Nothobranchius furzeri: one gene and its partner. The protein of the gene in region 2 interacts with the protein of the main gene of each other region in a pairwise test. Links are inferred from orthologs where the notes say so. Each region holds a gene or a part of one and is shown on either strand. Other genes may lie near its edges.

The links.
Region 1: the proteins of psme3 (region 2) and prr13 interact in binary tests that used the Homo sapiens proteins (3 or more experiments, as listed by UniProt). The two-hybrid records come from large-scale screens. The link is inferred for Nothobranchius furzeri from reciprocal best matches to the Homo sapiens genes PSME3 and PRR13.

The regions. Positions count from the first base shown.
Region 1 is NC_091743.1:62,074,282-62,078,585, reverse strand, and holds prr13 (proline-rich protein 13), read right to left. Parts: upstream 2,802-4,304; 5' UTR 2,668-2,801; intron 2,223-2,667; 5' UTR 2,174-2,222; coding exon 2,158-2,173; intron 2,041-2,157; coding exon 1,607-2,040; intron 656-1,606; coding exon 617-655; 3' UTR 264-616; downstream 1-263. Other genes in the region: cell division cycle-associated protein 7, read left to right, coding at 3,135-3,233, 3,409-3,765, 4,140-4,232. UniProt on the Homo sapiens protein: Negatively regulates TSP1 expression at the level of transcription. This down-regulation was shown to reduce taxane-induced apoptosis.
Region 2 is NC_091756.1:48,472,629-48,475,640, reverse strand, and holds the end of psme3 (proteasome activator complex subunit 3), read left to right. Parts: intron 1-34; coding exon 35-153; intron 154-873; coding exon 874-1,010; intron 1,011-1,115; coding exon 1,116-1,170; intron 1,171-1,969; coding exon 1,970-2,056; intron 2,057-2,130; coding exon 2,131-2,211; 3' UTR 2,212-2,505; downstream 2,506-3,012. UniProt on the Homo sapiens protein: Subunit of the 11S REG-gamma (also called PA28-gamma) proteasome regulator, a doughnut-shaped homoheptamer which associates with the proteasome. 11S REG-gamma activates the trypsin-like catalytic subunit of the proteasome but inhibits the chymotrypsin-like and postglutamyl-preferring (PGPH) subunits.

The DNA.
Region 1 (4,304 bases), on a different chromosome or scaffold from region 2:
TTTGAAGAAGTTTATTAAAAAAAAATATTAAAACTATTAGAATGATTTAAAATGCCTCAACAGAAAGAAAATGTTAGGAGTCTCTTACAGCTTACTTGATTAGATTAGTTTTCAACAATGTGTTAAATATTTTCAAATTGTGATAATTGTAGCATAAATAGAAATAAATGTTTATATTTATATACGTATTAAAGAGTCTCACTACAATTTGATGTTGACTTATTTTTTTCTAATCCTTTAAAAAACAATGGATGCGAGAAAGATAAAACACAGTATTGCCTTTATTTGGATTCACTTTATTGCACAGGTTAAAAGATTTTCTACTTTTATCAGTACATTTTAGAGTATTTGCATAGAACAGTTTCAGAGCAAAGCAGAATAACTGTTTTGCAGACACATTTAGTTGTAAGCACAAAGTTAAGACATTTAGAGAATAAAATAGGATCACATACATCACTCCTGTGAAATAAACTGAGAAAAGAAATGTTGCAAAACAGAATAACTACAAACTGAGGCTTTTTAGTGTCATAAATAAAGCTTAAAATACTGCAACTAAAAGTGACAAGGTATTTTAAGCATTTTGCATTCTGCAGGGTGTTGTTGAGCCAAAAGGGTCTCAGTCAGAATCACTGCTGCCACTGCTGCTGCTGGATGACTGTAAAGTAAACAAATATTTTGATAACTTTAGTACAATCAATTTAATAAACTGAATAATTGAATATCAAATTTTATAATACATAAATGCAGTAATTATAATAAAAATAGTTTGAGATGAGGAGGATAACCTTTACTGCAGGATAACAATAGAAATTTATACAATCAACACTATTGTACCATAATTCACATGTGACAAATCAAAGATCCAACACCATTTTTAATATTTCTACTAAATCTTCCAAAAAGCACAAAATGATTCATTTCAAACTTAAGTCAAGTTCCATTTTCTAAATGTATTACCTTGCTAAGTGACTATGTAATCTGATTATAGAAACCTGAGAGAATGCAAACTGTTCAAGATTATTTAAACACAGGGTCAAGACAAACAGCTGTCAAAAATAAAGTCATCCATCTTTTTATGCATTTGCGGAAATCTTCACACCCTTCACTTTTACTACACACATAGCTTCTACACTGAACTCATAAATCCCTTCAGAAAAATTGTGTACCGTTGTTTATGCAACAGTATGAACACCTAGATAAGTTCCCTTACTTGCAGTATTAGGAAATGTAAAGAATACAAATAATGCATGACATGATTTGCTGTACTGCTTATGTATTTGTTTTTTATGATAGTTCTGTGCAAAAAACTACAAATCTGTCATGCCTAATTTAAGCTGGTATATCTTCATAACTGTCCAGCAACTAGCACTTGTTTATTTGACTGCTTGCTGTTGTATAGTTTCAGTTTTGACTCTCTTCATCTCATTGTTCCGTTGATCTAGAAATACATATTCTTTCATTCCCTGTTTAATGACAATGTGTATTTCCTGAACTGACTGATCTAAAGAAGAGGACCTGGGCAGGTTCATTTGTTTCTGTATTAGTATTTCAGCAGCAGGAGGGATCATTTTCATTTTTTATATTCTTACTTAAAATCTGAACACACCTTGCCATGTTTGTGGTGTCCATGCTTGTGAGCTTTCTTCAGCTTCTTCATCTTCTTATGAGCTTTGTGTTCACCCAATGCCATTCCAAGCCCCATTCCTCCAGCTAAACCTCCAGCCAAGGGAAGCAACCCACCATGATGATCTTTGTGCTGGCCTTTGTGGTGACCTTTGTTGTGACCCCCTTTGGGTGAATGTGGATAAGGACCAGGATAAACACCTCCAGGGGGGGCCACTGGATATACACCTGGAGTCATAGGATAAGTATTGGGTACAGGAGTTACATAGGCCACCCCCCCTGGAGTTGCATATGGCCCCACAGCTGGGTAGTACACAGAATTTGGTGCCGGTAGGACAGTCCCTGGTGGAGGAACAGCCGGGTTTATGGAATTGTAAGGGGGAGGGAAGGCAGGGTTGTGTTGGACAGGAGGAGGGCCTGAAACAAAAAGCACAAGATCACAACTCATGCCTGAGATCAGAAAGGGTGTGAAGCAAAGAGAATCCAAATGCAAAATAAAAATATGAGTGTTACTTGCGAAATCTGATATCTTACCTTGATTTGGCCACATAGTTTCAGTTTATTTGATCAGAAAATGAAATCAGGTTTCACACAAAGTTCTACAGAAACAAACAGATTATATAGTTGATTCATTTAATTAGTTTTTAAACATGTCTTTAAAAAAACTAAACACAAAACTATACGTGCTTATTTTTCAAACTACTTAAAGAAAAAAAATTGTTTAATAATAATGATTAGAATAAGAACACCAGCAAAGTAAGATTTCAAGGTGAAAGTAATAGAAAGAAAACAGCCTCGCTTTTTATGTAGGACTGCTGTAGCGATATAAAGAAATGTACCTGCGCAAGCTGAAAACCGAGAACACGTCAAATAACCTACACCTTAGGGTAGGTTAGGGATTATGTTCAACTGAACAGATACATAATTAACAAAATGCCATCGATCTGACTCATGAGACAAAGTAAATAATGTTTTGTCAAGTAAACAAACTGTTCTTGTATCTTTACTATACTAGTAATACCTAAGTATACGTAGAGATCTTACCTCTGCTGTTGCTGAGTATGGAACTTGAAGTTTCGTGTTTGACTTCCGCATTTTATGTTGGGGCCACAGACCTGAATATGTAGGGCGCTGCAGAGCGTAAGCGTCACCACGTAAGCGTCACCGCCATATTGGATGGGTCTCCTCATCAATGCGAAGTGGTAACATCCGTTTTTGTGTAGCCTACAAACACCGTGCGGGCGGTGTTAAATGTGACTCCTCACACACGACGTACCGCCTCCCTTCGTGCAGCCCGAACCATCAAAGCACACTCACCTACATTTCTGTCTGACATAAAGAGTGAAGTAACCTGCGCCGCACGTGAGGGGAAATCCTGGCTGAGCTAAAAGTTTGCGTTGGTAGAGTGATGAATAAAGTGGTAAAATAAGTACATTTTCTTGCGCTATAAGTTACTGTTTGAACATAAATGCCTCTGAAGATAATTCACTCGTTTATTCACAGGTGTTGGAATGAACTCTGACATGAGGAAATTAGCTGACTTGTTTACGGAGGATTCAGAAAATGATGCGACATTTTATGGCTTTTCTGACTCTGAATTCGTAGATACGGTACGTTTTTATTTTTTAACAAATATTTTAGATTAGTCATGTCGACATGTGTGATGTATGGCAGAGAACGGCTGCCCTTTTAATTGTTTTACAGTATTTCAACAAGAATTTTAACTTTTTTTCTGTTAAGCTACTAGAAATTTTCTCAACAAGTAATTTTTACATTTCCAAACAGCGTTTGGATTATGACGATGAAGTCCAGCTTGACATGTCCCCCAAGGAACAGCAGAAAACCACATCTGCAGGCCTTCCACCTTTCAGACTGAGGGTTGCATTACGCTGTGTGCCTTCCATCCAGCTGTCCACAGGTCATGATGCAGAAGACAGTGAGAAAATAACAACTAGAAGAGGAGTGAAGAGGCTGAGAAACACCAGTAAAACTAAAAAGGACAGAGCTGTAAAACGTGAAGAAGAGGAGTCAACAGTTGGCCATCCTTCTCTGTCTGAGGAGCGTGGATCTGATTCAGACGAAGATGTTTTTGATAATTTTCTGTTAAAGAGAGAGCAGAACATCAAGGCTAACAAAGCAATGGTGACTCAGAAACATTTAAATTTTAGTTGGAAGTCAGTAATTAGAAATCTGTAATTTGAAAAACACTGCATTTAAACCCAATAATGGTCAATTAGTGCTTAAAACTTTAACAGATACCACATTCTCAACAGCTCAAAACCTCTATTAGAGGAGCCAATAAAGAGGATAACTGATTTTTTTGTTATTTGATCCTGATACTGGGGTCCAGAAACCTAATTTGATATATTTTGCTGGCAAGTCATTCTGATCAAGCAAGTAAAACAATAATAATGCATATAAAATACTTAGATTTTTAAGGCTGTAACTCTGGCATGTTATTTATATTACACTGCTGATTTTCAAAAGGGAATTTTTTTGAATTATTATTTTTACAGTTGGCTCAGCTGATGGCAGATCTGCAGAAAATTCCAGAAGGTGCAGGGATTTTCAAAAGATCAGGCAAACGGAAGGCAAAAGTAAGACACTCTGTGAGTGCACTGAAAAAAGGCAAATTTGTTAAACATCACTAGTCTTAGCTAATTTTCAAAACCCAGCATACC
Region 2 (3,012 bases):
TCTGAGGCCTAACAGTTATTTAATTATCTTCCAGTGACGGGCACAAAGGTCTTCGTCATGCCTGGTGGGATGATGAAGTGCAACACAAACCTTGTGGAGCTTATTGAAAAGGTCAAGCCAGAGATCAGGACACTCATAGAGAAATGTAACACAGTAAGTCATCCGTGTCTGTCTCTTTCAATGTGTGTCCTTAAATGTCAACCTTACTGGAAAAACATTTTTTAATGATAATTCTTATTATAATTGGTCACTCTGAGATTTTTATGCAGGCGAAACATGAAAATGGTCTCCTACACCTATCTCCTGCATTAGCTTCTGATAGAAAATAGACGGTGAAACTCTAGGATTAGAAAATCCTGACAGATCTACGTCACCCTGTCACTTAACATTCATGGACTCACGACGGGGAAGGCTGTTGTTTTAGAGTCCAGGAAAGGGCAGAGAATGGCTTCGCTAGTAGAAGCTAACTGTTAGCATTAGTAACTCCACCACATTCCAGAACTCCTCCAGGCTTGTGTTATTTGTGGAGATGAAACATCAGTGTTGCTAAACAGAGTCACTGGTAGAATCGCATTGCTGTTAGCCAAAGAGATACGAGATGTCCAAGTATTTGGAAAAAAGACTCCAAATCCTGCTGTGTTCAGCTCCGCTTTGATCTGGCTCACTTCTAGATCCTGAAACAGGCACACTGGAGCTTTTTTTTCTTCAGAGCACAATTTACAAGGCATTCCTGCCTACTAGAGACCACCGCAGATGTATTAAAATATGAGTTAAGTTGATCATTTGTATATGTGTTGGTTTTACATCCTGACTAGCCACACCTCACGTATCACTGATGCTTTGTCACTCAAATTGTTTCTTTTTTCCCCGCAGGTTAAAATGTGGGTTCAGCTCCTCATCCCCAGGATAGAGGATGGCAACAACTTTGGCGTTTCAATCCAGGAGGAGACGGTAGCTGAACTCAGAACAGTCGAAGGAGAGGCTGCGTCTTACCTCGATCAGATTTCAAGGTCTGCAGAGGCTCCAAACATATGGATTTATTTCTAAACAAAGCAAAATGGTGTTGTGTATTTTTACAGTGTCCAAACGTTGTTTGATTCCTCTTTTAATCCTAGATACTACATCACAAGGGCAAAGCTGGTTTCTAAAATAGCCAAATATCCACATGTGGTAAGTAGTTATCTTAGAATGGATTCAGTTTTATTCCAAGTATTGGAAATAGAATTAATGCTAGAATGTTTAAATGTCCTAAACATTTCTCACATCATTTACGTGATTTTGGGTCCATGTCTGACTGTCGTTGAAGGCTTGATGTGATTTAAGCATTTTTTAGTCAAACTGCTGCGCCTTTCCTAACAAAGTGGTTCAAATTAGTTATGTGCCTTTGGACCACCTATAAGGTAGTTAATGTATTAAATATGTTTACCTCAGTGGTGTTGTGTGTTGCTGAAGTAAGTGCAACTCATAAAGGTTATTTTTGTGTGAAATTATTATCGTTATTAATTAAACCCTTTAGATAGCTTTCAGAACAATCTTATTGCTAAACAGGCTATATGACTAATAAGGTTTATGCCAATAGTCCTAAAACTACTCATGTTACAGCAGTTCATGCAAATGTTATTTTACTAATTCCCATACTGTCATCTGTTTTGGGCTACTTTGTTATTTTGGCATTAATTAAAAAATATCCGCCAGACCCAACCCCGTGTGTGCTGGAAGTGCTACATTTAATGCTGATTTAACAGCAATGTTTATAAATGATGTGAAAATTACAAGATTGAGAATAACCTGAAAGTCTGCTTATCTTGTTCCAAGATGCTTACGTGTGTGCAACATGTTTTCTTTCCAAGCTGTTTTTGGGATGAATGAAAAATTTGGCTATTTATACTTTTCATATTTACATATCAAGATTTCTGACCATTATCTATCTTTCATTGTGTTTACAAACCGTTTTTCTCCTTGTAATCAGGAGGACTATCGGCGCACGGTAACAGAAATTGACGAGAAGGAGTACATCAGTCTGAAGATCATAGTTTCGGAGCTCAGAAACCAATATGTGCGTTGTCTTCAATAACAGTCTAGTCATCGTGTATCTTTGTTGTCCTTAAACCTGCTTTTTCTCTCATGAAGGTAACGTTACACGACATGATACTGAAGAACATTGAGAAGATCAAGAGGCCTCGAAGCAGTAATACTGATGCATTGTACTGATGTCGGTCTCTCCTTCCCTGTCATCTCCCTGCTCTTACATGCTGGCAGCAGCCTCACCCCCATCTGCAGGAAAACTAGACATTCACACACTTCAACACACTTCAACACAGTCGACTCAGCCCAGTATGAAAACATAGCTTCATAGATGGACACCTTTTTGTTTTAATTGTAAATGTGTTTTTGTTTTAATTCCTTCAAAAACGTTAAAGTTCTCTCAGAAAATGGGACAGTAAACTATAGGCAACATAAAGCACGATGTATTTTTTAATTTTAATTAAACATCTTGTCTCCAGATCCTTTGTGACATTTCTTCTTTTGTAGCTGATATTTTGTGGAATATGAATTGGTCTCATTGAACCTTTTCTGGATCTGGATGATGCTGGTAAGTTTGACATGAAATTACCGGTAAACAAAAACCTGTTGTTCTCTGAATGTTGTACATTATTACATTGTGTAGGTGTCAGGTCAGACGTTTTAGATTTGTGGGCTTAACGGTTTTCAGTGAAAATGCATAAGTCAGCATTGGTTCTATTGAATAAAACCATTTTTGATACAACGGTTTTTATCTGTTGCTTACCAGACAGACATCTGATCATAGGATGACAAGTAGTTATAATAAATTATTTTTACTAATTATACAGCCACCTATCAGAGGGTTATAGCTCCGCCTCTTCCTGGACTACATCACATTTGTAAAACTAACCTTTATCTTTCATTTTTTTCTACAAGAATATGGTTCACACAGTCATGTTTTCCCCCCACAAACACGGGATGTTTGAATGCCTTTAGTTGTGTGTGAGT